2 linked regions of the Mytilus edulis genome follow. The protein of the gene in region 1 binds, or shares a complex with, the protein of each later gene. Links are inferred from orthologs where the notes say so. Each region holds a gene or a part of one and is shown in the gene's direction. Other genes may lie near its edges.

Region 1 (16,967 bases):
GAAAACAGATACATACATTATCTTATACATATTCTTCATATTTAAAAATATAAATAGAAGGTCAATCTCTTTCTTCCTCACAAATGTTTAATTTCCTCCTCTACCAATATACTAATATAAACTTCACAATCTCTGTCTTCCTCACAAATGTTTAATTTCATCTCTTTCTTCCTCACAAATGTTTAATTTCCTCCTCTACCAATATACTAATATAAACTTCACAATCTCTTTCTTCCTCACAAATGTTTAATTTCATCTCTTTCTTCCTCACAAATGTTTAATTTCCTCCTCTACCAATATACTAATATAAACTTCACAATCTCTGTCTTCCTCACAAATGTTTAATTTCATCTCTTTCTTCCTCACAAATGTTTAATTTCCTCCTCTACCAATATACTAATATAAACTTCACAATCTCTTTCTTCCTCACAAATGTTTAATTTCATCTCTTTCTTCCTCACAAATGTTTAATTTCCTCCTCTACCAATATACTAATATAAACTTCACAATCTCTGTCTTCCTCACAAATGTTTAATTTCATCTCTTTCTTCCTCACAAATGTTTAATTTCCTCCTCTACCAATATACTAATATAAACTTCACAATCTCTTTCTTCCTCACAAATGTTTAATTTCATCTCTTTCTTCCTCACAAATGTTTAATATCCTCATCTATCAATATACTAATATAAACTTCACAATCTCTTTCTTCCTCACAAATGTTTAATTTCTTCGTCTATCTATATAATAAAACATTTTAATTAGACATCTGCTCGTATATTAAAAAAAAACATTAAATACAAATTCTTTATATCTAATAAAAAAATGTTTTCTTGTCGCTAAATAGTCTTCTTCTTTCTTTCTTGTGTATTAGCTTCCTATCTAAGGAACACCCCGCAATGGGTAATCAGGAGTATTTACATTAGTGGGTTAATCAAAGATTTATTTTATATTTTTAAAAGTTAATTACAATAGGGTTAAAAAGTAAAAAAAAAACAAAAAAAGGTAAAAATAATCGACAAAATTAATAATGTAAAAAAGGGCCAGTAGACGTGCTCTGTACATATGGTGGAGAGGTTAACATGGTTAAGAGATAAAAATACAAATAAATTTGGGATGGAAAAATATTCACAGGATTAGAAAAATAAAATGTACATGTTTGGAGGCATAAAATCTAAAACCCAACTTGTCCATCATAAGTAAAAAAGTAAAAATTGCTTAGGTACAAAAGTTACTAAAGTACATTGTCTATACTAATCATTCCTAGCATTCACATACTTCCATTTGAATTTCACTTGTTTTCTAAGTTCTTAAGAAGCTGTAAGCGGCAGATATGTATTTTGTAACAGAAGTCTCTAGTCAGTGACTCGACATTCATCTTCTGGGTTTTACTGAGGTTTTGCATACTGTGGAAAACTGAGAAATCTAGCAAGAGTGCTACAATGTTTTGGTTAATGTTAAAAAGTTGTTCCCATCCTTTGCAGCCTATGATATTTGTGACCAGGATTTTGAGAGGAAGGAAATACTTCATACGAGTTTCCCTTAAAGCTGGACAGAATGTTAAGACATGCGTTAAATCTTCGTCCTCCCTCTGACACAGCAGGCATGTTGCATTTATCTTGTATTGACTAAATTTGTATTTGTCGGCCTGTACCAAGTATGTACCAGTGAGCATACGAGCTTTGATCATGCTTTTCCGTACATCTAACAAGCTCTGTGATGCAGATTCCCAGACTGGGTGGACAGTACCTATCTCTAAAATGGTTGTGTTGAGTGAACTCAATGATGATTTTGACTTTGCCTTTTCTTGTAGTTCATAGGTCCAGTATTTGTTAATTGTGGATCTCAGGATTTTTTTCCATACACCTTTTGAAGGAAGTTTTATACTGGAGTCAAGAATGTTTGGCAGGTTGTATTATTGTAGCAGTAAAATTGATTGATGAAAGAAGCTTTTAGGATTATCGGAATTGACGGATATTTGTCTTTTAAGAATTTCCTTTAATTTAGAGTTGTCACAGGACAGAATTGCATGTAAGAGTGTCAGTTTCTTTCTATGGATTTCTCCTTCTACCGGTAGGACACCCAGTAGTAAATAAATGGCAGGAATAGCCGTTCTTTTAGAGAAAGATTGAATTGATCTGAGAGATTCTTTGTGAAACTTTTCCAGTAGTTCCATTTGAGTTTTGGTAAGAGTTAGGACTTCCAAGCCATACAAGAGTCTAGGTAATACATAGCTTTTGTATATTGTAACGGAGATTTTGGGATTTAAGCCGTTGGTTCCATGCAGACCTGAGTTCATTAGAGCATACTTGGTTCTTCTTGCAGATTTGATGCGATCCTCTATGTTGATATCACATTCCTTTCTAGTTGTTCGTTTTATACCCAGATGTACCGTTTCTTCAGAAGCAGAAATTTCCTTTCCCGACATGTTCCAGGAGTAAGGCTCGGGATTTTTTGATGATTTATAGTGGATAATTTTGGATTTAGTCGGGTGAATAGTATACTGATGTTGGTTTGCATATCTCTGTAGAATATTAAGCATCACCTGAAGTTCTTCTGGATTTGAGCTCAGTAGTGCTACATCATCAGCACATGTTGGTGCGCCACAGTATATTGTGCCTAATATAAAGCCTAATGAGTTTTCTTCCAGTTCTTTAAGAAGATCTTCCACAAATATTTTATATAAGTGGGTTGATAGAATACCCCCTTGTCTAACTCCTTGTTGGATGTTAAAGCTGTCACTGAATTCTCCCTGCCATTTAACTTTGGAGGTGAGACCGCTGTAGAAGTCTTTAATTAGTAACCATATATCAGGGTGTGTTCCACGGTCGAGAAGCTTGTCAAGAAGAATGGTATGTTGGACGACATCAAAAGCCGATTGGACGTCGACAGTTGCTAGATATAAGGATAATGCACTGCTTATTTCACATTTACACTCAGAGATTATTAGACTAGCGAAGAGTGGCCACAGACCTGCAGTAAATCCAAATTGTAAGTCAGTACCAGAGTTAATAAAGAGTTTGCCAAGAATGCAGAATTCGTGTAGTTTGGAGAGTACTGGAGTCACAGTGATGCCACGGTAACTGTTAACCAGAGATGGATTTTTTTCCTTTTTTAAGACTGGCGTCAAGATTCCTGATTTGAAGTCAACTGGGACTTTTCTTTCCTGCAAGATTTTATTGAAAATTTTTGTGATCACTGGTACCACAGTGTGTTGAGCGTATTTAAGATGTTCTGCACATATTCCGTGTTCGTCCGCTGATTTACCTGTGTTTAAGAATTCAATTGCTTGTTTTACTTCCTTTTCTGTGTATGGGTCCATTGATGGCAGATTTTGACTGAAAGTTTCCTCAACTATTTTCTGTCTTATTTGGCAGAGTTCCAGATAAGCATTGTCATATTCGTTCTCTTTTGGAAGGCTGAGATCTTCGTAGTAATTTGCGAAGGCACGGCTTTGATTTTGGGAAGAGAAGTCAAATTTACCGTCAATTTCCAAGCCGGAAGTTTCCGTTTTAGACTTTGATTTATTTCTATTGATGAGTTTGAAGAAGAGTTCAGATGAAGGATTGTCCATAATTTGCTCATATAGCTTTCTCCTGTCAGTTGCCTGTTCTTGTCTCTGTTGACTGCGGAGTTTCTTCTTTTCACTTTTGAGATCTTGCTTGCTTTGATGATTTTCTGGTTTACCCAGTGCTTTCCATTTAGAATATAATTGTTTGCAGGTTTTGAGATGTTTCCTGACTTTCGGTGAGGCTTTCCATTTTGGACCTTTTAGCTTGGTTATTTTTGATGGGACTGCCAGATGCGAAGCTTTTAACAGAATAGATGTCAGAGTTTTAATGTTCTCTGAGGTTGTTTTGTCTTCCCTTATGTCAGATAGTTTTTCTGAGATAGTATCCCGGTATAGTTGTTCATCAATCTCATTCCATTTCAGTCTTTGAACAGTTTTTTTATTTTGATTAGAGAATTTTTCAAGCAGAGGGACAGCAATATTGGTGATCATTGAGACAGGTACATGAGAGGAGACATTAGATGATGTGTTTTCCCAGATCTCATGATTACAATAAATATCCTTGTTGTTGGTCAGTATGTAGTCAATTTGCGAAGAAGATTGTCCTGAATGGTGGAAGAATGTTTTTTGTTCACCATAATTTCCGACAGTAGATAGGTTCATTTCCAAAACAAATTGTTTCAAAAGCTGGTCATGTTTGTTATTCCTACTAGTAGCGAGAGTACCATTTAGATCTCCACAGACAACTACTTGGTGAGTTGATTGATATTTCTCTATAATTGAGTGAATTATATCCAGACAGACTCCATATTCATACTGTGAATCGGTTTCCCTTGTTGGCATGTAAGTGTTAATTAAGCAGATATTCCAATTTGAGGTAAATAAAATAGCGACAATTCTTTCGTTTCCATCAGGGAGTTTTTTAATCTGATTGTTCCAAGTTTTTGGCCAGAGGATGGAAACTCCTGCTTGACCTCTAGGAGTTTGAATCCATCTAGTGGTTCGTTAGAGTCATGACATCTGGTATGGTTTTCCCATTCAGGTAAGAGCTTATTAAGGAAGTTCGACTGACACTCCCAGAGGAAGTGTTCTTGAAGACATATGATATGGGAGTTGTCGAGAATAGAGTGAAGAAAGGATGTGTTTGATTTTATCCCTTCAATATTACATGTAGTTAGTCTGATGTTCTCGGTTCTACTAGAGATTCCAGATTTTCCTTTTGTTCTGGAGGTTTCTCCTGGAGGCAGTTGTTTCGAAAAGGGGAATTTGACTTGATGATCCCTGTTCTATTTGGGGGTTGAATATTGTCTGTGGCAGAGAATTGGTAAGTTGTTTGATGGCTAGCCACTTGAGCTTTTTGTGAGTGTTCTATTGGCTGATGATGAGTTTCAGCTGTGGTAATGACTTGGTTGCTATGAGAATGATCCAAAAGGATGTCAGCTTGTTCTTTGTGCATTTCTGGATCTAAGTAGTTGACTATTTCTGAGTCAATTGGAGGTGAAGAAAAGCTAGTAGTGATAGTCTCATTTTGTGGCTTTGACATTCTTCCTATGTTTGTGTTTGAGGAAGGTTGAGAGGGTAGCTGTTTCTTTTGTTGGTATCTCCTGTTTGTCCAGCCTCTTTGACCAGTTTCCATTGATACCGACTGTGGTGTGATTTTAGCCATTCTTGCTTGAAGATTCGAGTTAGGAGCAGGTCTCGTTGAGTTCTCATTGAAAACCTTGTTATTGAGGTTGTATCGACCTGAGCTTTGTTGAAGATGAGGAGCCGGATGTTGAAAACCTAGATCAGTTCTAGATGCATTATTGTGGTATATATGTGGCTGAGGAATAAAAGGTGTTGGTATGTGAGGTGCCCTGTTCCCGTGAAAGTCCGGTACTTGCTGGGATGAGTAGGCATAAGTTGGTGGCAACAAGTTTTGTTGAGGGATACCTGGGTATCCATGGCCAGTTGCTACATGAGCGTTGGTTTGAAATTGAGGTTGAGGTTGATGTAGCATAGAGCCAGGATGGTTGGAGAACTGAGTTTGGCTGTAAGCTGGATGCAAGTTCCACTGAGGTATGAAAGGTACTGGTTGCTGAGGAGGATAATGCGGTTGGAGCAGATTGTGCTGACAAGGAGGATGATAGTGGCTCATAGGTCTGTTCTGAAGAGATAGCTGAGTAATTAGAGCAGTGTTGATGCTCATATTTTGAGCTGTTTGATTCTCCAAAATGCGCAGTCTGTTTTCCATTAGCTCTTGCTTGTAATAGGTATCTAAGTGCTGATGTGACAATGGAGAATTTGTATCGTTCCTGTGCCTTGGGTTGATATGAGGATTAGCATCAATCCTATAACTGTGGTGGGAGTTTTGACGTGAAGGATCAATTTCAGCCTGATCATTTTGGTGTTTAATGTGATCTTTAAATGTCTGAAGAACAGTGCGGAGTTGATTTACTTCGTTTTCTAAATCAAGAATTCTTGTTCTCTGTGTTATCAGTGTTTGGTCATGCGCTAAGACAGAAGACTTAACCTTTAATTTTCGTTGATTGGTTAATGACCTAGAAGTAGGTGAGTTGTTTCTCTTTGCTGATTTGCCCCTATCTGTAATGGGGTTTCTAGTTGAGGAAGTTGAATCGCTAGAAGTACCAGTCAGGACAGACTTTACCATGGTATCATCTTTTTCCAAGTTGTTTGCTGTCTGATTGTGGCAGCTAGTGATACAGGGATTTACGTAAGTGTCTGTGGGAAATTCCAGGGATGATTTCTGAGCTGGCGAGTCCATACATATGTCAGTAGTATGATCCTGTGTTTCGTGAGAGCTTATAGCAGGTTCAGAACTGGAGGTATTAATTGGTAACTCTTGATTGTTATCATCAGTTTGTGGAATGAAGGTGGCTCCTACATAGAGCAGATCGTCGTTACATTGGTCACAGTGATATTCTAGTTGATGAAAGGAGTTGATGTGGTCCTCTGTTAGGCCAACACATTTGTAGTGGAACCAGTTATTGCAAGAATCACAAGCGATCCCTTCTGTCTGGACATTTTGTTCACAGTTTGGGCATATTTCACCATCCTCCCTTTCAGCTAGTTGTAGTCCGCTGGTATCTTCTGTTGTTTCTAATGCTTCCATCTGGTTTCTATTTAGGTCCTTCTGTATGATGTTGGATAAAGAGTCTTTAATGATACTTAATTGAGAGTGTATGGTTTTGTTGCAAATGTTCAATTCTGTATAATGATTCTGAATCTCTGCACAGATTTTGTCAAAAATGTCGTTGATGAAGATATCAACCCTGCCGCCATTAACGGTCATCTTGTTTGTAGTATGATAAAGATTCATGGTAAATTTGAGAAGATTGCCTCAGTGGTTGATTGTTTGCTTTGCGATTGAAAATTTTGTAGCAGGAGTCAATGTTCAGGTTAGAAAGTTCAACGCCGTGCTGTTCTACTACTACAAAACTAAGGTTGAACTCGGGAGATTTAATTAATTGCAGAATTTTTTCTTTAATAAGCTCATAGGCCCCAGTGCTGAATTCCATAACGAAATTTTTTCCAGCTTTCATTTCATAATGTAAATGTTCCTGTTTACATTTTAAAGTTTTTGTTTCTAAGGCCTTTGGTCTGTTTAACGTGTAGTTTCTATTGTTGCCATGTATAGTTAAAATTTCTTTAGAGAGTAAGTTTCCTGTAGACTGAGATTTCTTAGACGTTCTGGTTTCCATCTTTCGCAACATGCTATCGTGACTCTCTTGTCGCTTCTTATCGCTTTTTGACGCTTCTTGTCTCTAATTAGTGAGACCCTATTTGTACGTTGTTGTCTTATATTTTTGTACATGATTTTTGGTGTAACTTTCTATATCTCTTTCGGAATATACTTAGTTTTTATGAAGACAGCTGAGAACTCCCGATGGAATGGCGCGGTGGAAAAACAATTTTGAACCTGATATTAGAAATTTAATCACACTTTTTACAGGATTTAGTGTATGTTTTAAAGTAGATGATTTAACCACATAAGACGGTGTACAGAGCATTAATAAGATCATAAGTACTGTAGGCCACAACGACCTGTTTCTAAGATAATCAAACATAATTTTTCATAACACGTTTTTGACAGTGTCTTGCTAACAATTCCATATAATATTTATACTCTATGCTGAATACGATAATGAAACAATGTTTTGGCCACTTTATTTCGGCCACTTAACTATCTCAAAACAACAACATATTACTTGAATAAATATATACTATGTTTTGTCAGAATTTAATTGTGAACCCATTTCTAGTCACTTCGGCACCAAGTCTGAGATTACTCTGACGTCCAATGACTGTTTTGCCAGACAAGCTGGGGCTGTGGGACGTCAGAGCTCGTCCCATATCAAAAAGTGGATATTTGCCCACCCAAAATTAGATGCGCTGCTTTGTCGCTTCTGGTGCCAACTGGCGGCCTTGGAATTATATAAATCGGGCATCAATCTGTTCATTTTTCATTTATGTAAGTTTCACCTACCTGCCACCCTTTATTTTCTCATATTTAGACAGATTTCACAGTGACCCATCGATTCAGACATTTTTCTTTTATCAGTCAGGGGACTTACATTTTCTAAATCACTGATTCAAGTAACATTATTTCCATAAGGTTGGAAGTTAGAGTTGTCTTTCTTTAATAATCACCTATTTAAGTACTACAAATTAATCACTAAAAGAAGTGATTTAATATTAGTGTAGCTTTAAATATAGAATACTAATGATCCAGGGACTAATTATGTTTCTAAACTTATCAGAACCAACATCTGTGTTGTCTAGGATGACCAGGTCATTCAGGTGATGATGACCTTGTACTGAATCTAAGATAATGACATAAAAATCACTTGTTTAAGTATCAGACCTCAATTTCCTTCCCAAAAATCACTTCTTTAAGTATCATTCTTTTAATAACCCCCACTAATTTCAACACCCCCGAACAGTGAAATTTTTATCGCGAACAGTAGAATTTTATTACATAATCTGAAAGATGAAACCTTGAACTTTACAGGAAAAATACTCCCACTGCTGTGAAAAATCTGTAAAGAAAGTATCAGTTCATTATGTAAAGCCATTATTATAGCATTTTTTCAACTAAAATAGAATTTTCAGGTAACTGATAGCATCAAAGGCATAAACCTTGCTATTTAAAAGAAGCAAAAAGTTCATATTTTTTAATTTTACTAATTAAAAGATGTCATTTAAACCTATGTGTTTAAAATTTTGAAAAAACTACAAAATCCCTATTTGTGACAAAACCTCGAATTTGCTACTCAAATAAGTGATTTAAAAATCACTTATTTCAGTAAGTCCCCTGACTGTTTATTTTCAAAAGGACTTCAAGTTATGAGGGATTTCGCGACCTCGGGACTCAAATATGCAAATGATTATACTTTTATCACCTCTTTTATCAGGTTGGGGATAACCCATCAAATGGGGAACTATTACCCAAATTAGTAACAATCCCTCATTTGAGTAGTCCAAGATTACTCTGACGTCCATCGGCTGATTTGCCAGACAAGCTGGGGCTGTGGGACGTCAGAGCTCGTCCCATATCAAAAAGTGGATATTTGCCCACCCAAAATAGATGCGCTGCTTCGTCGCTTCTGGTGACGATTGAGGGCCTTGGAATTATATAAATCGGGCATCAATCTGTTCATTTTTCATTTATCTCTTCATTTATGTAAGTTTCACCTACTTGTCAACCTTTATTTTTCCATATTTTAACAGTTTTCACAGAGACCCATCGATTTCTGCATTTTGACTTTCATTTTCAAAGATTATCACGTGACCACGAGAAAACAAGTGATAATTTATGCAAATGACCATATTTTAACACCTCATTCATTTACAATGCAAGTAATCTAAATGTCCGAGAGCTTCCGATTGTTATTGTGGTTGGCACCAGAAGCGACAAAGCAGCGCATCTATTTTGGGTGGGCAAATATCCACTTTTTGGTATGGGACGAGCTCTGACGTCCCACGGCCCAAGCTTGTCTGGCAAAACAGCCATTGGACGTCAGAGTAATCTCGGACTATTGGGCACCTATCAGTTACATGTTGACTGTTGTCTCGCTTGTATGAATAATTTCCTCTTATCATGCTTATGTACACCATTGCTCACAGTACTTAGAAAATTTGTTTAGGTGCAGGATCAGGTTGCAGGACTTGCTAGTTATTTAAAGCGCTTTAATGTAGAAGCAAAGATTTAATTATTGGCTCAACTCCAGAATAAATTATGAGTTTGGTGGCATATCTTTTTGTATACTGTTCTTGATCATTATTTCTGGTTAACTAGCACAGTTAAAAATTTACTTTTTTTCTGGAGATGTCCCTAAACATATCCCAATACATACATGTATAACATGTACATGATGTATAAGGTGGGTCTCATTGGATTGCCGCTTTTCTATAAGCATGACACAAGAAAGTCAAATTAATGTGCCATGAAAACAGGAAATGAAGTCTAGCGGGACACAGGAAATTACAAAAACTGAGAATTGCTTGCGTACACAGTGTTAGCAGGATAGGGAATCTGACGAAACTGTAAGTGGGATCCGGGATCAGAACCCCCAAATGAGACCCCCTATAACATGTACATTGTGTATAAGGAGCTATCATATTGATACGAGATACATGTAAACATGAACTTCATAAAACTGTTTATTTGTTTGCACTATTTCAGATAACTGTTTATATTGTAAATGTTGCTACATATGTATTCTTTCATTTACAAAATCCCAATTTAAAAACTAAAATAGAAATATTGTAGTATTATGTTATAAATATTATCATGATTATAAATTGATCTGCTATCTTTTTTTCAGGAGGAAGAAGATAATTTTAAGATCTGTTTTCAGTTTGCTGATTCTAATATTAAATATCACAGATTTCTTAGTGTTGACAGCCACAAAGTCACTCAATCATTAAAAGGGTAATTATATATACAGTATTAAAACTAAGTTTTATTGCATGAATATTGGGGAATATTGTCCCGAGTAGAATTTTATATTGCACGTGCTTGCGAGTGCAATATATGTTCTACGAGGGACAATATTCCCCAATATTCATGCAATAACCCTTTTATTGTATAGCAATATAATATTTAAAAGTAAAAATTGGTTTAAACTAAGATTTTGTCGTTGATGACGTCATGAATTTTGAAGATTTATTGCACTAGTGCAATATTAGAATTTATTGCACACTAACTTTTGGTTACGTTCTGTGGGAAATATTATATTGCTATACAATAATAAGTTTTATTGTCATGAGACAGACCTTGAATATGTCACATAAAGATTAATTATATATATTCATAAGCGACATTAAAATTCTAGAAATGCTTTAATGAGTACTAAATAACTTTGTGACACCACCTCCTCTAAGAGATTATATATACATTTATTATTTGTCAATATTTTCTTTTGATAATGTAGGGGAGATATATATATATATATACTTTAGCGAATAATCAAACAGTGCAAATTTATGGAACTGCTAAGGTTAAGACTTCTGTGCCTCAAGGAAAGCACTGGATCCATGTATATATTTTAGTGCAAACATCGCATCCTTTAATTTTAGGAACACATTATTTATATTCCAAGAATATCGTTCTTGACTTAAGTGATTGTCGCATAAAATCTAAACATTTCAAGGTTTTAACTCAAAGTCCCGCTTCTATACCTCCGAATTCAGAAGTCCTTTTTTGGGGACACGTCAATGGAAAAGTGCAATATGGAATGCAATGGCTCAATATAACATCCATCTTGTCAAGCACAGAGTATCAAAATTTGTTTAGTGTCTTAAGCATTATTGTCCATCTTAAAGTATAACCACAAACAAACTGGGATCTACATCCAGAAAACTCTTTCAACATAGCGTCTAATATTCAACGGATATAAAATATCATACATACTCTTTGTACATTAATATTGTTACAGTTAGTCGACTGGTTTTTTTTCAGTGTTATAGACAAGTGTACTATTCATTCTGAACAAAGAAAAGCGAACACACTTAAAACATTAACAGATGAATTTTTAGAAACTCCAGTGTTTGAAGGCAAAAAAGAAGGAAAGGTATATTGTTAATGTAGTTTAAAATATCATAAAAGATTTTTTTTAATTTAAGAAGGGAATCCAGGGTCCAGAAACATGAGAAATGCACAAGATGATTTTAACTCTGCTTTGATTTTCCAGAGTTGTAACCTCAATTATGAAACAGGAATGACAGTATATATATTTGTTAACGTAACATGGCTGTATGAGACCTGTGAATGTGAAAAGGGTCATAAAAGGGTATAGGAAATAAAATAGAAAACCAATATTCATTTAACAATGATCGAAAAAATAATGTTTTCGCATTCCTTTTTTTCCTTTGCACCAAAAAAAAACAACAATGAATACATAATTTGTATTAACTATTTTTATGACAAGCAGTGAACATTGTAAATATAAAATGAATTGCATGTCTATCTAGTAATACTGTGAAATATTTGACAATTTTCAGACAGATACCCACTATGGCTTACTGAGTTTACTGCTACATCTTGCTGAATCGCCTACACATTGTAGTTATGATGGGGATGGCTTAGTTCTACAAACAGAAGGTATGTCCAGTAAAGACCTGCAAAATTTCCCGATTCACAGGGATGACCATCTATGAAAATAGTATATTTTAATATAAAATGGGGTGAAAATAATTTATAAATGGCATTTAAAAGATAAAAAATATACACTTATTCCAAACTTTTAATTTAGGGTTAAAACACTTATGACATGTAAAAGAGGTACTGTAGGTCCTCTTGTACTTGACATCCTGCATGTATGTTTTGAAAGGTAGGCAGCTTGCATGCCTTATTTATAAATTTTTCCAGATGCATTGTTACATGAATTACGTAGTATTATCAAAATGAACAAATTTGTTTTTTCAAGATAGTTCATCAGTTATTAAATTATGCGAAATACTTATATTGTTTGTTGGTTATAATAATCAATTAAATAGCTGGTTATATTTATATGGAAAAAAACAACAGAATGCAAGTTTTTTTTAAGGTTTATCATTGTTTATACAGCATGATACACCAATCAAGTTGGTTTTTTTTATTAATTAGTTACACCAGTTGACCCAAGGTCAATCGGCGTAGATGACATCATCCAACAATCAGTTGGTCAAGAATTTGAAAGTTGTCTATTTGATTTTTTCAAATTTTATTGTTACACTATCGTTTTTTTCCTGGATCGGATTAGTAATTCTATGCATTTTTTTCACTTGATTATACATACAGTGTATATATCATGTAATATTATTTAGGACCAATTTTAAAAACAAAATTGTTTTATATTTTAGCATTATTATAAAATCTATTTGTTTTGTAATTAGAACCAGAGGATGATTTTGATTGGACAGCATTTCTACTGGATGGTGAATACAGACCATTGCAGGTGTATGATGACTTAGAGGTATGTTAAAGGCCTAAACAATTGGCTGTTTCAGAGTCTAAAGCCATCATGGGTAATTTCATTGTTCGTACCCCAAAATGAAAATAACGTCACGTCATTGGTCAAATTTCCATTGTTTATGACATTTTTAACCAATCAGGACGTTTTGGTGTACACTTTTGAAATTATTACCCATGATGCATTAGATTCTGAAACGGCAAATTTAACAATATAATTGTGATCATGATAATTGTTGGGTATTTTTTTTTCTTTTTCAAAATGTAAAAACAAACTGGAGCTTCTTGAATTTGGCTTTCAGTCTTCAAGTGAACATGCTATTATAAGTTATATGGTTCGCTACTGACCCCATACAGATCCATAGAGGGTTAGTAAAATCCATAGGGGGTGAAGCCGGAGGCTGAGTCCCCTATGAATTTTATTCACCCTCTATGGATCCATAGGGGGTCAGTAGTTAACCGTATAACGAATTTATCAGACGCTGGACTTTTTCTGCTGCGTTTTGTTGAAAAATAAACAATGAAACACAACAACATTAATAGATGACGTCGCCATTTACGCGTCATGAACCCCATATGAAACTAACTAACCCCATACTGTTTCATAGGGGGTCACCATGTGACAGCATTTAACCAATCACAACGTGATAATTCATTTGTGGTCCGATAAAAAGTTTGATGTATCTTTTCATTCATGGATCATAAACTTCCTTTTAAATGAATACTTGTATATATTCTAACATTAAATTTTTATCACATTTATTTTCATGAAATACCATTTGTAACACCCTAACATTTGATATCAAGCTTCATTTTAACATGCTATACTGCCATTTCTCATTAACTTTCTTGTACATGTTGTAATTGAATACTTATAGTTGAGTTAAAACTATGAAGTATTGTTTGAAAATCATTTGAAAATTCATTTACTGATTGTCTTGGAGTCAATTTGTGAGGAGTTCTTGTGTATTCTCAAAAACATTCAGACAGGGACACATTCATCTCAAAGCTCCAAGCAGATATTATAGATTAATAAAATATTACCAAGACAACAGGAATTCTTTAAAATCATAACTTTTTTATAAAGAGAAATCGTATAATTCCTATTATTTTTTAGTCAGATTCAGAAGAAGAAACTTTAACAGAAGATGATGAAGATGAAGACAAAAAGACCACAAAAGATCAAGATTCTGGAGATTTTTCAAGTCATGTGACTCAACAAAATGTGACCTTGTCAACTATAGCAGCAGCAGACAGCACAACATTTTATGAGATAGATGATGTACAACCATCAGATACTGGACTTTCTTGGTTACAGAAAAATCTGGTTGTACAGTATTGGCGGGGTCATGGCTGTACTGAGGAGGGGTCAGAAGGTCATGACTCCTGTAATCTGACACGTGATTGGTTAGTTTTCTTGAAATGGGAAAAGACTAAATTGATATTTGAATGAAATCTATTTTTTAGATCAAATATTGTATCTCGCTGTAAGAATTTGTGTTTTTTGTATTGGGAATCCGAATTAGTTTAGGAAACATACTTAAAGGAGTAGGTCCTGTAAGGACCGATTTTGGCCTCAAATTTCAGGTTCATCTGACGAAAGATTTTGACCACTTCTTAAACACTTAAGTGTCTATTTCACTTGAAAGATTTTAACTCATTTAGTCATTAAAAACGATCCAGTTCAAGCTCAAATATGAAAAATCTATCAAATATGCCGAAAAATGTCACTTTTCAGATGTTTTTTGTCAAAAATGGAAGTGGCCGCACCCGTGTTCATCCTCAACCTTTATATATGTTATGTATTATCATAAAATACAACTTACATTTCAATATTAAGGATGAAAACAAATGCGGCCACTTTCGTTTTACACGAAAACCGTCTAAAATTTAACTAAAATGCTAGAATTGTGAAGATTTCTGTAATTTAGCATGACTTAAAGGTGCCAGTACCCGATATATGTGCATTGCAGAGATGGGTCCGATTACTTTCAATGTAATTGATTAAATTACAATTACTTTGTCATTTGTACGATTAAATTAAATTAATGATTACATCATTTCTGAAAGTGTCTGATTAAATTAATGATTACATTGGCAAAGTAATCATGATTACATCTGATTACAATGAATTAAAAAAAAAAAATATTTTGAATGATGTGAATGAATTAACGTTTAAAATAACTATAGTATTTTTAGAAAGGATTTTTTTATATACATTTTAAAATGATAACTTCCAACTTCATCTATTTAATAAACCACAAAAGTTCACTACAGACATACATGAACATTATGTCACGCATTACACTTTATTATAATTGATCTTTGAATTATTTTGACTTCAATTGAATATGGCTTAAAGTCTTTATAAAGAGTTTGGAACTGTTAGTCTTCTGACCATTTCCAGACTTTATATGTATTTCAATGTGCAGATTTTGGAAGTTAATATATGGATGAAATAAAGTTACCTGACAAAAATTATGTAAAAATTTAATAGAATTGTTTAAACAAATTGTAAACAAAATACAAGTACTATAAGTCAATGCATTTTATATGTCCAGTCTAAGTACATACAAAAATTTGCTTATTTTAAACAAGATATTTGTCCAACTTTTAATTTAGTTTGTGCTAATTAGAGTAGTTTTCACATGTCTGATTAATTTTTTATCATATATATTTTTCTACAGCTATACTTAATTAGAAATTGCAATAAAAACAAACCTTAATTGGTTTCCTAAATGTCAAAGTTTACAATAATCACAATATTAACAAAAGATTATAATTCAGGGTTACAGAAAAAATGTTATAATTTTGCTTAAATATAACAAGTTTTTTTTATCAAATATATATATGTACATATTTTATAATATTTTTTACTAAGGCCTTCTTAGGCTATTGATGACTTTTTAATATTGTAACAGTTTACTTTTTACTGAAGTATACAAATCAATTAACATGATTGATAAAGTAAACTAAACTATCTTAACTTGTTAAATATCTATTAAGTAAGAATAACAAAAAGGTTCATTTATTGACCATAAACACGGTTCAAGATTTTTTTCATTGTAATCAGAATGTAATCAAAATGTAATCAGGATTACAGGGCATTTTGAAAAGTAATTGATTAAATTAAATTACATGTAATCAGATTTTTGGCTGATTAATGATTACAATGATTACTTGAACAATTGTAATCAATTACAGCTGATTAACGATTACAATTACAATTACCCCAACTCTGGTGCATTGTATTGTCAAAAAGAGCCCATATTTATGTAGCAGAAGCATTCTTCTTTCCAATAAATATCTAAAAGTTTACATTTTAACAACTTTGTAAAACTGCTATATTTTGAGGCCAACATTGGGTCTTACTGGACCTATTCCTTTAGAATTTAAAGGCAACTTTATTTCTTTTTAATTGTCTTTTGCAAAATATGTAATTTTGTAGAAATATAAGAATAATTAAAATATATACACAAATTCTTTTGGTAGTGCACTAAAATTCAAATTTAAAAACAAAATACTTGCATATTTTAACTTATTTTTCAATAGTTGTGTATTATTAACTTCATGGCTTACAAGAAACAAAATGGAGTGTGTACTTCAAAAGGACTATTGGAATTAATTAGAAGTTTTTTCCAACTGTATAAATAAGAAGGTGTGGTATAACTATAACTCACTGTATGTACAACCCTCAGCAATATGCAAAACTCATATCAAACTATAAAAGTTTTAAATGTACAAATGCCAACTCCTCTCATTGCCAAATGCCAACTCCTCTCATTGCCAAATGCCAACTCCTCTCATTGCCAAATGCCAACTCCTATCATTGCCAAATGCCAACTCCTATCATTGCCAAATGCCAACTCCTATCATTGCCAAGTAGAAATGACAATTCCAGGTTAGCCGTAGTAATATAATTTTGTTTGACTGAATAGTGGTCCCAACCATCAAGTTGTACCAATACATAAGATGTCAATTTTTTGTGTTTGTATTTTCAGGGA
Region 2 (17,326 bases), on another chromosome or scaffold:
TTCTAATGTCATGACCTGATGACCCGATCTAATCAGTGAAAAATGTTGACTATAAAAGATAGTTTACTTTAGTGTTGTTCAAATATTATTGAATCTAAAAATGTACATGTATACAAAATAAATGAAACAACCATCATTTACATGTCATGTATGTAAAACATGCAGCAATATTGCTTCTTAGAGCTCTCTTTTTGCTGCATGGACATGTGTGTCCACAACAGCTGTGCCTGAATGACACATATATGTCCATTTAAAATTTATGCAAGCTTCATGTAATCATTGCTTTATCTTTGACTTAAAAAAAATACCAACATGACCAAAGATAGTACAGTGTAATATTTTCTTTAATGTGTTTCCAATGTAACGACATTCAGGTGTCATATTTTGGGGTACATGACAACTTGTACTTTCAGCAACTTGTAATTTTTGAAATACTAAGGCTTTTCTACCTCAGGCATAGATTACCTTAGCTGGATTTGGCAAAACTTTTAGGAATTTTGGTCCTCAATGCTCTTCAACTTCGTACTTTATTTGGCCTTTTTTTACTTTTTTTGGATTCGAGCGTCACTGATGAGTCTTTTGAAGACGAAACGCGAGTCTGTCGTATACATGTATACAAAATTTAGTCCTGGTATCTATGATGAGTTTATTTGTACCCTTATTTAACCAACTCATACCCATGATTTATTTGATATTATTTACATCTATATACATACATGAAGTTCACAATGTATTGTAACTTTCTTTCATAAACATTGCATCATACTATATAGCAACATATGAATAAAAAACTTTCATTGCTAATTTGATGCGATCATAATTCTTTCAAATATATCAAAACAAATCAAATGCTAATCTTTAATCATTAGTCCTTATATTTTTTTATTATTTTAAATTGTTTAAACAGCAATTTATTTGATATGCATATTAAATAATTATGAGCACACAATATACTAATCTGTGGTCATTAGTGGATGGTAGACCTACAATAAGAGGATGGATTTGATTAAAGAAGAAAAAAACATAAAGAAGTATATGAAAACCAAAAATTGGTATTAATGCTGCACTTTGAACATCAAAATCTGTTGAGTTATACTTGAACAATCACCATCCTCACTGAAAAGAAAATGCATGGCTTAAACATTGTAAAAACCAAGCTTTGGGAAAAAATGTATAAACTACGATGAAATGTGTGATCTTCTTCATTTGCAATCATAGTTCGTTTGTATGCAAGAAGACGGTTATGTCTCATCAAGATGTTCTACAATGTGACACATTTGACAACTGGCAGCATCATCTTTGTGAAACAGGTATGTTGATTTATGTTAGTTTTATTTTTTGTAGAAATTAAGCCCACAGTTTAAACTTTAAACATGCTTTTATCACTGTAATTTTGCTGTTAATTTGCAATTAAACATGTACACTAATCTCACACAAGGACCGTTTCCTAAATGTATTATTGATGGTGAGATGTTTATAAATTATGATAGTATTGTATTGTAAAATAAATTTTGAAAGCGGATCACGAGTTAAACCAGGTAATATCGATGTAGAGACCAGAAAATCTTTGTATTGTGCTACCTGTAAATGTTAAAATTGAAAACGAGCCACCCTTGTCCTCCAATTTTATATGTGCTAGCTGTTGGTTTAAACTATTATAGGATTTAACACCTTTTAAAAGTAATTTATTGGTGTATAAACTCGACCAATTCAAGTTTATGCACCAATAAATTCCTTTAAAAAATGTTTAATCCTTACAATTCTTTAAAATTGGAGATATGTTTTTCCACACTTTTTACCTCTACCACACGTAAATTGTATATTTATGTCATTGAATAGGCCTGGTGCATGAATATATTTGCTGGTAAATGCAAAAATATGTCCTCAATGAAATTTCCTATCTGATAAAAAGTAAACTGCACAGACTCTTATTATCATTCAAACTAATGATTTTGTGTATTATTTCATTTAATGATATTAACGTGCAGTGAAAATAAATTTGTCAACATCTGTGTACCATCTTGTTTACATTGGTTAAGAAAAGAAGTTTGGTCAACTTTGTCTATCGAAAAATAATCAATGTCAAGATTAACTACCGGAAGTCCTCTCGACTAATCATATCAACCTGAGACTACTATAACACATATTAAAGTAGTCTCAGTATCAACGTATTCCCTAATATGCAGATCATATAAGAATTATTAACACAGATAAGTTCATAAAAATCATTTTAAATTTAGTGTGTACATCGAACATGGCGGCCATTGTGATTTCCGTGGTCACCATATTGGATGTACACACTGAATTTAAAGTTTTTATGAACTTATCTGTCTTCTGTAAATCATTGATGAGTTATAAAATACATCGATAATATACTATTATTTAATAATCAATGTTTAAAAGTCACCAATATGTGTTAATATGGGGACGAAGTCCCCAATAACAGTAGAAAATTCAATAAAAAAAAAATTCTGGAAAATTTCCCGAATTTTTCATTGTACTAATGAACTCAAAATCGTTCAAATTTTTTTTGTCGTGTTTTGAAATCCGGGACCTGCGCAGAAATGTACAATGTACTTCCTTTTTCCGGTCTCGTTTGTATGAAACTTTGAGTAAAATATATATTTATCAGTCTAGTATAAAATAGGAAGGAACGCGCAATACCAATTTCATTTTTAATAATTCCTTGATATGAAAAAACGTTACCTGATGATAGCGTTTCTTTGTTTACATTGCATATGACGTCATAATTTAAATAACGTCACAACTAAAATCCCTAACAACAGAACCAAAATCGGAAACGTTACGGTATTTACGTTTCTTTTTTTTTAACAAATTATTAGTTACAAAAAAATAATTCATACAGACTTCGTCCCCATTTACAGGTAATGCCTGCCTCATATTATTAAAATTTCAAGTGTTATTCGGTCATTACAAGTGTTATTCAGTCATTCGAGGTACCGTTGTTATTGAATGAATTACTCTATTTGGCAGCGCACATCAGCAGAATGTTACGAGTGCCAGGACTTTTCGGGTAACTATGCACATATGAACGATAACAACTTGTCTGTTTGTAATTTTCTGTGAACACGAAAATGACCGAAAAGTGTCAGTGATTTAATCCAGTGCTCTAGCTAGAAATCAAAAGGGGCAGGGTGCCAGTGGAGGGCAGGGCACTTTTTATGATAAGAAAAGGCACTGCTAATTTTTTTGTCTACGTTTCTGTGTGTATCACGAGTTAACCAATCTCTTTTTTTTTACTGTATTTGTTGTTTTTTTTAAATAAAAATGCATTTTAACTATAGTCTTTATTTCATTGTTTGTGTAGTTATGAATAATATAGTACATCTTCATCAACATATTATGTTTTTATAGTTTTTCACTCTACCCACTGTCAAAGAATATTTTTTTTTATCTGTATAAAAATTTTAGCTTTTTATACAAAAGATCTTTTATGTTTTTGTGTATTACTAATTTATCAATGTTTAGAACATGGATTGCTAAAAGTATAATTATCAAACAGAAATTGCAATATATTTTTTTTAATATGTTCAAAGACAGTTAATATCCTTAAGGTAACATTATTATGTTATTATATATTCAATTGGTTCTTTATTCCTTTTTTTGATACTAGATAATATTTTTAGAGCACAAATTTGTAATAAGCTAAAACAGGGGAAGTAACTCCAAAATTAATTTCCAACAGGTTTGCGTCAATTAAAAACTGTGCTTGTCGCTAACAAGTTGAGATGGAATGCATTTCTGTGAAGGCATAGTTTTATTTTGATGACTTAAATTCAATTCTAAAGTCATGAAAGTCTTCATTTATACACTCTTCCATTGTGACTTGGAAATCGAAAATGCAGACCCAAGCTAAACACACTCCTGACACATTCATCAAATGTATGACAAAAAGATACATTGTCCTAATTAAATTACCTAGATATTAACACCTTTGAAGTCTTTATCATTGTAATTGATTGTAATGACATGATTAACCTGGGGGCAATCACACAGGTGTCATATATGTAATTAACTTGGAGATCAGAAATCGATGAAACAAAAGGCAATTTTACCAAAACGGCACAAGAGAATTTTGGAAAAAGACGTCAGGGCAGAAGGGCGCGGATGAAGGCACCCAGGGCGCGGCTAGAGGGCATCCAGGGCTCGGCGCCCTTCTATTTTGGGCTAGCGAGACCACTGTAATCTATCACTTGCGAGGATCAACTGCCATTCCCCATATAGTAAACTGATTAACGAGTATTCTTATTGGCGGTAATTACGCAGATGAAACATTTGAAATTGTGTTGTAGTTATTCCTTTCAATATTTCTTCCATGGGGATTGGCCGTATCGACTTTGACTATTGAATTTTGGGCCTAGCGACTTGGTTTGTGGTCGGAACGACCGGAAACTGTAACATTGTCATGCATCACAGGCGCTTAGGATTTGGCTTATTTCTCTTTTTGTTTGCACTGAATATTCAATTTTCTGTTTTTAAACAGCATACCCTACATAGTTTGTCTAAGTACCTTCTTTTCAGGTTGAAAAACAGTAAACAATATTTTTTTCTGCCACCCAAAACATTACAACTTCCGGTTTCATTCAAAGGAAGTGTTCACGGTATCCAATCAGAAAACTCTTAACAAATCAGGTTTTAAAGTTTGTTGCCAACAACAACTTGTACGGACTGCAACACATTTTCAAATATTATTAAGGATCAACACCTCCTACCATAGCATATATACGTACCAGTGTCAACATGGGGGTAAGAGAAAATTTTAAAACGAAATCATCGAAAGAAATCAAATGATTAGATAATAATTTTATTAGTTTAATCATGTTTGAACAGGACCAGGCAAATGCAGGAGCTCTGAAAGCAAATATAGTTTGCTTGATTTGCTTTGGTGTGTACTGTATTTAAATATAGACAGGTGCTATCTGATAAACTCTTGATCATCTTGTCGCCCCACGTAAAATGACTCGTCACATGTAAAATGACTCTTCATGTGCTCACATCCCACATCGAATTCTAGTCAAATCGGCACCTGGTTAAATCAGCATCTGGTCAAATTGGCACCTAGTCAATTTGGCACCTGGTTAAATCGGCACCTGATATTGTAATTTTGGCACCCGTATTAGATATGTTTAATATATGTTTTTTTTCAGTATTTTAAGCAAAAAGATGTTTTAACCGATTTAACCAGGTGTCGATTTGACTTTTTCTATGGGTGCCGATTTGACTTGTACACCCACAACAATCATGACTGTGACTTTCAATAAAAATACACAAACATCGTAGAGAGACAAGAAACTAGAAATAGCAGATCATACAAATTGATTGACTACAAAACAGACATCCGAAAGAACCCTTTTTTTCCCAAATCAATAGTCCAGTGGAACCATCTGGACAAGGATATTGAATGCCCAAAGTCAGTTGAGGGTTTCAGGCCTGCCCTCCTAGAGTTGGACTAACCAACCAGCTCTCCTTCCAATGCGCATATATCCGTGATCGGATCCTGCACTGTGTAACATACATATACAGACAGAACAATCCAATTTTCCAGCCGAAAGTTGGGAGCGGAAAGTTGGTTGCATTCACCAGTTAAATCTAAAATCAGACCCTTCAAATTCTGAACATAATTCAGAACCAAATGACATTTTGGTAACAAGACAATATGAAATCTAGTCACGTTAACTTAGCACCTGGTATAATCAAAACCTGGATATAGTCAATTTAGCATCCCATAATTTATTAACCTTTATATCATGTATATTATATTGTTTATTTAGGAAGAAGACCGTTATTGTTTCATTGCTGAATGGTATGACCCACATGCAGCCTTCATACGCAGATATCAGTTTATGTATTATGTCAAAGATCAAACAGCAGAAATGGTAATACCATAAAAGGTCCATTACATTAAATGTTTTACCAGTTTGATAGCTGGAAATAATAAAATTTAAAATGAAAAGTTGTTTCTTAAATTCAATGATTTTTTTTAAGATTACAAAAAAGAATATGTTAAATTCAATTCATCATTTCTAGTGTTTAAAATCTTAATTTTCACAAGATAGAAATAAAATTCAAAGTAGACCAGCTGGTAGTTAGAGGGTAATATCAATTATGCCCATTAGCTATTACATTCTTATAAATTATTCATTGGGGACATCAACATTTATAATTCAACACAAATCTTTAGTGTTTATCCTGTAAAAAAATTCTCACACTTACAAATGTATAATATGATAAATTTAAATGTTACACCTAATAACTTGAATAATACATTTGATATGTTATGACAAAGTTTTATATCCATTTGCAATACATATATATATATATGATGTTATATCTTTCAGTTTGACATTAAAAATCACAGAGTATTTCTGAAGAAGACAAAAGTTAGTGACTGTTTACGGCTAGAAGATTTATATATTGGTAGTACAGTAAACATCTTGTCTAGACAGCTGAAATTTGTAGATTATGGAGATGATTACACTAGGACCAGATTTTCTCATAAAAAAGAAAGGTTTGTAGAAATAAAATTAGTATATAAAGCAGTTACTTATACTATATTTAACAGGAATACAGTTATTAATAGTCAAATTGTCATTAATAATCATAGTTTTCTTTGCATATTTCAATACTACTTTTCATATTCAAATTTTTAACTAATGTGAATTTCAGGATATACATGAAATAAAAAAAAATAAGATCTGTGCTGTATTGGATAATGAAGGATTGTGCGACATTACAATTTTTCAAACAACAAAATCCCAACATTGAAGTTTTGTTGTGCTGATTTTGAAATAAAATAAAGATCTGTATACATGCAGTTTACTTTCATGAGAGTTTGTGTTACTTTCTATTTGTAGAACTTTGGGTATCATAAAACCCGATTCCACAGCCAAAATGGGTCAAATATTAGATGTGATATATCAAAAAGGATTTATGATTACACAGTTAAAGATGTGTCAGCTGAATAGAAATGAAGCTTTCCAATTTTATCAAGAGCATCAGGGAAAACCATTTTTAGAGTGAGTACTAAAATTATCTGTGTGATTACCATTGTTGCAAATTAAGGTTACTTGAATATATAAAACTGGAAGTGAATCCTAAATCGTATACTGATTTTTTTACTGTTACAAATCTTTAATGATCACTATTTAAATTTAATTTGCACCTGAAAAATGTACTACCATAGATGAACTGTTATACCCCAGTAATACTTTTATTTCTCCATGAAAGAATTGATCTAGAACTTAAATTTACTTTTGTTTGGTAATGCTAATAATGCTAAAATTTAATCAATTGATGTAAATTAGATTTTTCATGAAAAATAAAGCATAAATAGAATTTGTTTTCAGAAGCAATTTAATAAACAAATGTTAAGAAAATATTGTACAAAGAACTCAATGTACCGAAGATGCTGAAATCAGCAAAGAAACCATGAAACAGACACGTATATGTTAAAAGAACACAACTGTTAAAGAAAATAAAATTTGAATAACAATTTTGTTAAACAATGAAACTTTTATCCACAAATAAAATGCAAGAGATCAAAGAAAGAGGAGTAAACAACTATAGGTTACCTTTTGGCCATCAACAATGATCATAGTGTTAAAGCTATTACAGGCCCTGGCAGGAAAAATGTGAAACAGTCTGAAAGAAAAAAAATTTAATAAAAATACATACTGGCAAACAGCAACCATTTAAGACAACCACTAAAATAACATGCTCCTGGCTGAAATACAATAGTTATATGACTTATTAAAGGTAAATAACTTTTCTCTCCAACACAGCAATTTATTAAATTTTATAACTCGAGGACCAGTGATAGCTTTTGAAATGATGGGACCTGGAGTAATCTCTGCCTGGAGAGAGTTACTTGGTCCAACAGACTCAGCTGAAGCAAGAAAAGTGGCACCCCAGTCAATACGGGCAAGATTTGGAAAAGGTTTGTGCTCAATTATTTTAAATAAAGGGATTGTTAGTTTTTATTACAGTAAAACAGCAATCTTAAACACAATTTTTCTGGATTATGAGTTTAGAACATTTACTATTGTTATATTTTGGTTGTCAATTGTCAATATACAAAAAACTATATTTTGATCACATTTTTGTTAAAGAAATGTAACAGAAAGGTTACATTAGTAATTTGTACATTAAGAAATTAATATGATGTTTTTATAAATGCTTATAAAATCACATTTTCTTTACCAATTTTAAGTTTCTCATTTCAGTTTGTAAAGTGTCAATCTACTATCAAACAAACACAATACAGTTTCAGGAATTACATAATAAATTGTTCCTTTTGAAACCTTTGCAGAAATGTATTTAAATTAAAGGTGATGTTGGGTATATATTTGTACTTTGATATGAGACAGCATTCACAGCAAACCAACAACACACTACCAACAGACACATGAAGTCCTTATAACTATATTTTTCATGTCCACATGATCTAACTTGATATATAAAGTGTTGGTAATTTTCAGACAACACAGAAAATGCCTGCCATGGTTCAGACAGTACAACATCAGCTGCTAGAGAGGTGGAGTTTTTCTTCCCCAGCACTGGACCTGGACGACAGAACACTGCTAAATATAGTGAATGTACATGTTGTGTCATCAAACCACATGCAGTGAAAGCAGGTATGGTTTTGAAATAATCTTATGTTTGTATTAATCATTTAATACTTGTCCTTTTCAATATCAATCAAAAATTCTTTCTGATGCATTTGATGTAAGACTGATATAAGCAATGGTATATTTTTATAATACCGCCAAAAAATTGATTGTAATTAAGTTTGAAGATTGTGTCCATTTTTGCCCTAACTGTTCAGGGTTGGACGTACATCTGCTGTCGTATCCAGCTGTGCTAGGCGAAGCCATTTATTATCATTGTAATACTAGCTTTTTGCCAACTGGTTATTAAGTAATGTATGCGTGTTAATATTAATAATATAGGAATCTGGTTACACATCAATGAGACAGTGCCACCAAACACACTGTAGCTAGAAAATTATTTCATAACAAAACTCAGATCAACACTATGAGGTTCAACTATATAAGTGAATATTGAATACTTTTAATAGCTGATTGATAGGAAAATGATTTTGTTTCTTTTTTAACTTTTTACTTTGTAGATGCTTGCAAATAACACTATCTTCAGTAGTAAAAGATTATGACATGAAAATAAATGAAATCTATTCAATGAAATATTGTAGGTCTTTCTGGACAAATTATCAGTGCTATCATGGAGGCAGGTTTTGAAATATCGGTGTTAGAAATATTCCACATGGAGAAGGCAAATGCTGAAGAATTTTATGAGGTGTATAAAGGAGTAGTACAGGAATATGGTTCTATGGTATCAGAATTAACGTCAGGTCCATGCATTGCTATGGAGATCAGGGCACAGGAAGCACCAACAAAATTCAGAGAAATGGTTGGACCAGCAGATCCAGTAAGTTGTGAAGTTTTAAACATGATAAATGTAAAATTAAGGATACAAGTAAAAGAATATGTGCATTTTATGTCTACAAGGCAGCACTAATCAAGATCAAAATAGGAATCTAGAGGCCAACATATAATTCCCAACTATGGATAAAAAAACTTAAAAAACAAAATTTCTGTCACCAATAAACATATTTCTGTTTTTTCTTTTTCAGGAAATAGCACGCCATTTAAGACCTAGAACTCTACGAGCCTTGTTTGGTGTAGACAAAGTACAAAATGCTGTCCACTGCACAGACTTACCTGAGGATGGATTGTTAGAGGTAAGAATTAATGCTGAAAAGATGTATGTTTGTTTATAACATTGATGTTGGGGTGAGGTCAACACACAATAGTATCTGTGGTTCTAATAATGTTTTAATAGGTATACATGGACAACATGCAAACTTGCACTATATAAATCACATTTGACAGGTTGATTTATTGTAAACAGGACATTTAATTCCATTATACTATATACATGTAGCTAGATTATCAGAAAAGAAAAGTAATGATTTTAATTTTTTTTAAATAAAAAACATTTAAAATTGTCAATTTCTAATGTCAAAAGGGGATGGAATGATAAACATACATACTGTATCCACATGCAAATCTAAATCCATAGTAAAGTTACAGTCATTTACTAAGCTTAAAAGACACACATCAGGAAAGTACAAGAAGCCTATTATTATTTATTTCATACACAACATTCATCAGAAATGGAGTACAAAGGATTTAACTTTTTTATTTCATTTAAAAAAAGATTCTGGAAGATAAAGCCAGAAGACTGGCAAATGATGAAACTGAAATATTAATATTACATTTGTTTTCAGGTTGAATATTTCTTCAAGATTTTGGATCGCTGAAGCACCTAGAGACATTTTATTGAATCAGATCATTAAACTCTATAGACAGCTGTGATATCATGTATTGTAGAAGGGAATGAACCACTTCAGCATTTTATTGAAGACTTAATGCATTGACATCAATCTTTTCAAAATGTCCAACTGTAAATATCTAAATCTTTCTATCAATTTTTACCATAAAATGAATTATATATATATATATACTATATTCTCTTTTTCTTATCTTCTTGGCCTCTTGCTATGAAAAGGTGATGGGTATAATGAAACTTACACAAAAAACTTTTCTAGCATGAAATGTTTATTTTCATGGTTTGGTCTATAAGCAATAGGTAAATTTTATTCAGTATATGTCTGACTATTGTGGTTTTATATAATATAGATATAAGAAGATGTAGTATGAGTGCCAATGAGACAACTCTCCATCCATGTCACAATTTGTAAATTTTAAACAATTATAATTCAAAGTACAGTCTTAAAAATGGAGCATTGGCTCACACCGAACAGCAAGATCTAAAGGGCCCCAACAATGACTAGTGTTAAACCATTCAAACAGAACAATGAAAATAAAATGAGAAATGAGAAACACTTATGAACCACATCGACAAATGACAACCACTAAACTTCAGGTTACTAACCTCACATTCTTAAATCTTTAATGTTTACAGCTTTTACATTAACGCTAGCAAGACAAATCTTTGTTTGGCTTGCTTGCTTTGTGTGTATCAATGTTTGCTCAAGCATGGCAATTAAGATAGGTGGGGCTTCAGCTTGTATACATCATACTTAAATTTTATTGGACGTTACGTTTGAGGTTTAGGACACTTAATTTTAAAACATCACATGACAAATATTCTCACATGTTTCCTCACCTGTAAAAATACAATAATTGGTCAATGAAAGAAAAATGTAAATTTATATTGGTTTTTTTTTTTATAACATATCAATCTATAAGTTCAGTTGTTTCCGTGTCTGCCCTTTCATTTATGTAACTGAAGAAAAAATTCCAATAAATGGGTAACAATTGTATCGAAAAGAGAAAATCGAGTGCACCTTTTTTTATGTTAGGGTGTGTTTGAGATGAATATTTTGTCTTGAAAACGTGCAAAGGAAGAGTATTTAATACATCATCTCGCTTCAAATTCTATCATTTTTATATAGCAAAGCTACAGGTTGACTTTATAACATAAAAAAATCACAATACTAAAAGATGAAATGTAGGGGTCTAGTGAAATACCTATCCAATGAATCACAAAATCAGAGTAGGTGTGTTCGAATAGCTATTTTACTAAAAGTATTTGACGACAATCTTTAAGTTGGATGATGAAAATGCATATCTTCGAAAAATTTTTGGTTTCCATTTCTACGATTGTGAAAATGAACTGCCGTAATGGGGAGATAATTTTGACGAAATAGAATCCTGACTGTATTGTATATTTATTTACAGGTAAGGAAACATGTGAGAATATTTGTCATATGATGTTTTAAAATGTAGTGTCCTTAACCTCAAACATAACGTCCAATAAAATTTAAGTATGATGTATACAAGCTGAAACCCCGCCTATCTTAATTGCCATGCTTGAGCAAACATTGATAACAACAAAGCAAGCAAGCCAAACAAAGATTTATCTTGCTAGCATTAATGTAAAAGCTGTAAGTTATGAGATACTTCAAGTATCATACTTGTATTAAAACTATATCTTTAGGATTATCAAGGTAAAATAAAATTTGAAAAAAGTAATACAGGCCAGACTTTCAGCGTTTACACTCATGAGACTGATAAACAAATTAAATGGTCTGAGTTAGCATTTAGTGTTTGTTCTAACTTCAATGCAGCTATCAAATCTAAGGTACTTAACAATTGTGATAATGAATTTTTACTTTGTCCATACTTTCCTCAAATGATTGATTGCATGCATGTTGTTGCTCTAAGGCCATGTTCAGCAGGCTTTGCTGTATCATAGTGACCACTTTTTATTAGTTGAGGAATTTAGTGTGTCCACAAAGAACAACCTCCCTTCAATAAAAAAAAAACCTGGCAATCAAGTTCATGGTTCAAATCAAATGCATCTTGCCACAAGCAGGGTCTACCTTAATTAAATCAATTGTAGATGACAAATTGCTTTATTACAACTATCACATAAGATTAACATGATCCAAGAAAATGAGGTCAAGGTCAAATAAACCAATTTGGAAGTTAATTTATAACTGACAGTCATTCCATACACCAAATATGCTTCAAACATAGCTGACATATTGCCCATAGTTTCTAAGAAACAAATTTAACCAGGAAATCATATTGATCAATGAAACATGAAAATGAGGTCAAGGTCAGATGGACCCTACTAGACAGCCATGTACACCTTACGATCATTATATGCTGTACATATAGTTGACATATTGTATAATATGTAAGTCTGAGAAACTAGTTTAACCAGGAAAACCTAAGATTGACCAATGAACCATAAAAATAAATTTAAGATTAGAAGACAATTGATAGACAGACATGTACACCTTAGGCCCAAAACAATTATACATGTGTTTCCGTTTACCCTGCCTACCCTAATTTTTAGTGCCTATCCTAACACTTTTTGTGCCATTTTAGAATAAGCAATGTTAAAGTTGGACTGATTCCCTAGAAGTAACCAGCTATAAACTATGTTTGTAAAATAAAACTATATTGCCTACATACCTACCCTATTTTTAACACATTTATTATTATTTTGGCCTTACAATTATTCCATACCCCAAATATAGTCGACATACCAGTATTGCTAAGAGTATTAAAAAAACAATAAAACTTAAGATTGAGCAATGGACTATAAAACTAAGGTCACAGTCAAATAAAACATGCCAGGCAGATGTGCATTGTAAAATTCTTTCATACACCAAATATAGTTGACCAATTGCATACAGTATTTGAAAAAAACAGACCAAAAACACAAAAACTGAACTGTAAACACTGAACCATGAAAATGAGGTCAAGGTTGGACGACACCTGCTATTTGGACATGTGTACCTTACAATCATTCTATACACCAAATATAGACCTATTGCTTATCATATGAGTTATGGGAATTGACCATGAAACTTAACCTTGTTCATTCATCCATGAAATGAGGTTGAGGTCAAGTGAAAACTGTGACAGGCATAAGGACCTTGCAAGTTATGAACATACAAAATAGTTATCCTATTACTCATATAAGAGAGAAATTAAGAATACTAAAATCTTTACTTTTTTTCAAGTAAGTCAGTGAACCATGAAAATGAGTGACATGGACAATGGACATACCACAGCACAAATTTCACAACATAAGGCATCTTTATAACTAGAGGCTCTAAAGAGCCTGTGTCGCTCACCTTGGTCTATGTGCATATCAAACACAAAGGACACAGATGGATTCATGACAAAATTGTGTTTTGATGATAGGGATGTGTTTGTAGATCTTACTTTACTGAACATTCTTGCTGCTTACAATTATCTCTATCTATGATGAGCTTGGCAGTGGTAAATATTTTGTATAAATTTACAAAATTTATGAAAATTGTTAAAAATTTACTATAAAGGACAATAACTCCTTAAGGGGTAAATTGACCACTTTGGTCAAGTTGACTTATTTGTAGGTCTTACTTTGCTGTACACTATTGCTATTAACAGTTCTATCTATAATAATATTCAAGATAATAACCAAAAGCTGCAAAATGTTCTTAAAATTACCAGTTCAGGGGCAGCAGCCCAACAAGTTGCCCAATTAGTCTGAAAATTTCAGGACAGATAGATCTTGACCTAATAAACAATTTTTATTATTTTATTATTTTCTCTAAATGCTTTGGTTTTAGAGATATGAGCCAACCAGGTGCTCCGCAGGGCGCAGCTTTATACGACCCCAGTGGTTACCCCCTGAACAGATGGGGCAAATTTGGTCACAATATTCAAGCTTGATTCTGTCTGAAATTGGATTGTGATCAAATTTTTGATATAATATAGGTTTTTGTCACAAAATTAATGTGGTCAAAGATCTTACAAATCTATTGCACTATACTGTGCAATTGAAGATTTCTTCTCGAAACTTTTCAAATTTGAAATTTGAAAATTTTTGAAAAAAGGAAGCCCTTCAAAAAATGGTAAACAAAAAATCCCCCCCCCCCAACGTTTTGATACCCCCTTGGAGCAATAACCCTTAAAATCAATCCCATGCTTTCCATTGCAGTATTGAACCTTGTAGTACAATTTCAGAGAGATCCATACACTGAAACACAAGTTATTGTCATGATTGTTTGGAAACTAGAAACATGCTTCTTTTAGGCCCTTTTTGGCCCCTTATCCCTACATATTTTGGGCAATTAACCCAAAACTTAATCCCAGCCTCCCCTTTGTTATATGGTACATTGTGGTACAATTTCAGAGAGATCCATACAATTACACATAAGTTATTGTCTTGAAACTAGAACCAGATGCTCCGCAGGGCGTAGCTTTATACGACCGCAGAGGTTGAACCCTGAATGGTTGGGGCAAGTATGGACACAACATTCAAGCTGGATTCAGCTCTAAATTTGGATTGTGATTAAATAGTTGACACAGCATAGGTTTCTGACACAGAATGAATGTGTTCTAATAAACTTAAAATTTTTGTTTTCTCTTAGAGCAATTCACTATGCTGTTGAATATTAATCCTCTCAAAAAAATGTTTGAAGAAATTTTCTTTTTTATTTATGAAATTTCAAATGAGAAAAATTGAACCCAATTTTTTTAATCACGTCCCCCTTTCCCTTATTCCAAAACTAATCTCAATTAAAATTTCTAATGGAGTTTGCAACAATAACTACTCATTTAAATACATCATAAAATATTAAGATGTAAAAAAACTGCTTGTTATCACTGAATGGTAAAGATTATTTTAATTTATCAGTTGGTAGTAAAAAGTGAATATACATTGTATATTGTATATAACAAAGATTTAAGTTGATTCTGGACAAAGAAAGATAACTCCAATTAAAAAAAATCTTACTATTGCACAATATTTTGCAATTAGATATTTCTTGCTTACTATTCTGGACAAAGAAAGATAACTCTAATTAAAAAAAAATTTGCTATTTCACAATATTGTGCAATTAGATATTTCTTGCCATTGCTCAATACTGTGCAATTGAAAAGACTTGCTATTGCACAATACTTAATATAATAATTTTAGATCCTGATTTGGACCAACTTGAAAACTGGGTCCATAATAAAAAATCTAAGTACATTTTTGGATTTAGCATATCAAAGAACCCCAAGATTTCAATTTTTGTTAAAATCAGACTAAGTTTAATTTTGGGCCCTTTGGACTTTAGTGTAGACCAATTTGAAAACAGGACCAAAAATGAAGAATCTACATACACAGTTAGATTTGGTATATCAAAGAACCCCATTTATTCAATTTTTGATGAAATCAAACAAAGTTTAATTTTGGACCCCGATTTGGACCAACTTGAAAACTGGGCCAATAATCAAGAATCTAAGTACATTTTTAGATTCAGCATATCAAAGAACCTAACTGATTCATTTTTTGTCAAAATCAAACTAAGTTTAATTTTGGACCCTTTGGACCTTAATGTAGACCAATTTGAAAACGGGACCAAAAGTTAAGAATCTACATACACAGTCATGACAGTTAGATTCGGCACATCAAAGAACCCCAATTATTCAATTTTGATGAAATCAAACAAAGTTTAATTTTGGACCCTTTGGGCCCCTTATTCTGTTGGGACCAAAACTCCCAAAATCAATACCAACCTTCCTTTTATGGTCATAAACCTTGTGTTTAAATTTCATAGATTTCTATTTACTTATACTAACGTTATGGTGCGAAAACCAAGAAAAATGCTTATTTGGGTCCCTTTTTGGCCCTTAATTCCTAAACTGTTGGGACCAAAACTCCCAAAATCAATACCAACCTTCCTTTTGTAGTCATTAACATTGTGTTTAAATTTCATTGATTTCTATTTACTTAAACTAAAGTTATTGTGCGAAAACCAAGAATAATGCTTATTTGGGCCCTTTTTTTGGCCCCTAATTCCTAAACTGTTGAAACCTAAACTCCCAAAATCAATCCCAACCGTTCTTTTGTGGTCATAAACCTTGTGTCAAAATTTCATAGATTTCCATTAACTTAAACTAAAGTTATAGTGCGAAAACCAAGAAAATGCTTATTTGGGCCCTTTTTGGCCCCTAATTCCTAAAATGTTGGGACCAAAACTCCCAAAATCAATACCAACCTTCCTTTTGTGGTCATAAACCTTGTGTTAAAATTTCATAGATTTCCATTCACTTTTACTAAAGTTAGAGTGCGAAAACTAAAAGTATTCGGACGCCGGACAACGACGACGACGACGACGCAGACGCCAACGTGATAGCAATATACGACGAAAAATTTCAAATTTTTCGGTCGTATAAAAATGCTTGTTTGGTCCCCTTTTTGGCCCTTAATTCCTAAACTTTGACCCCATAACCCCTAAAATGAATCAAAACCTACTACTTGTGGTTTTAAACATTGCAGTATTATTTCAGAGCAATTGAAATACTTCTACACAAGTTATTATCCTGAAACTGAAAAATGCTTGTTTTGGGCCCCTTTTGGGCCCCTAATTCCTAATCAGTTGGGACCATTATCCCCAAAATCAATCCCAACCTTCCTTTTGTGGTATTGAACCTTCTGAAAAAATTTCATGAAGATCTATTCACTTAAACTAAAGTTATTATTATTGAAACCAATGTGTCTTAGGACGACGCAGACGATGACATCATACAAATTATACGATCCCAAAAAATTTTTGGGGTTGTATAAAAACTGCATTTTACCCCATGTACAATTTTTAGCCATGTTGGCCATCTTGGTTCACGGGCGGGGTCATCATACATTTTTTTAATCTAGATACCCTAATGATGATTGTGGACAAGTTTGGTTAAATTTGTCTTAGTAGCTTCAG

Evidence for each region.
Region 2: gamma-tubulin complex component 5-like (region 1) and nucleoside diphosphate kinase homolog 7-like share a complex: the UniProt entries of both Homo sapiens proteins name them as parts of the gamma-tubulin ring complex. The link is inferred for Mytilus edulis from reciprocal best matches to the Homo sapiens genes TUBGCP5 and NME7.

What each region holds. Positions count from the first base shown.
Region 1 is NC_092355.1:38,664,850-38,681,816, forward strand, and holds the start of gamma-tubulin complex component 5-like, read left to right. Parts: upstream 1-7,356; 5' UTR 7,357-7,400; coding exon 7,401-7,469; intron 7,470-10,336; coding exon 10,337-10,443; intron 10,444-11,472; coding exon 11,473-11,584; intron 11,585-12,014; coding exon 12,015-12,114; intron 12,115-12,887; coding exon 12,888-12,967; intron 12,968-14,080; coding exon 14,081-14,370; intron 14,371-16,964; coding exon 16,965-16,967. UniProt on the Homo sapiens protein: Component of the gamma-tubulin ring complex (gTuRC) which mediates microtubule nucleation.
Region 2 is NC_092346.1:81,916,341-81,933,666, forward strand, and holds nucleoside diphosphate kinase homolog 7-like, read left to right. Parts: upstream 1-4,643; 5' UTR 4,644-4,761; coding exon 4,762-4,767; intron 4,768-5,792; coding exon 5,793-5,897; intron 5,898-6,359; coding exon 6,360-6,529; intron 6,530-6,875; coding exon 6,876-7,037; intron 7,038-7,802; coding exon 7,803-7,957; intron 7,958-8,498; coding exon 8,499-8,654; intron 8,655-9,229; coding exon 9,230-9,465; intron 9,466-9,670; coding exon 9,671-9,778; intron 9,779-10,327; coding exon 10,328-10,360; 3' UTR 10,361-10,559; downstream 10,560-17,326. UniProt on the Homo sapiens protein: Possesses an intrinsic kinase activity. Displays 3'-5' exonuclease activity with a preference for single-stranded DNA. Does not seem to have nucleoside diphosphate kinase activity.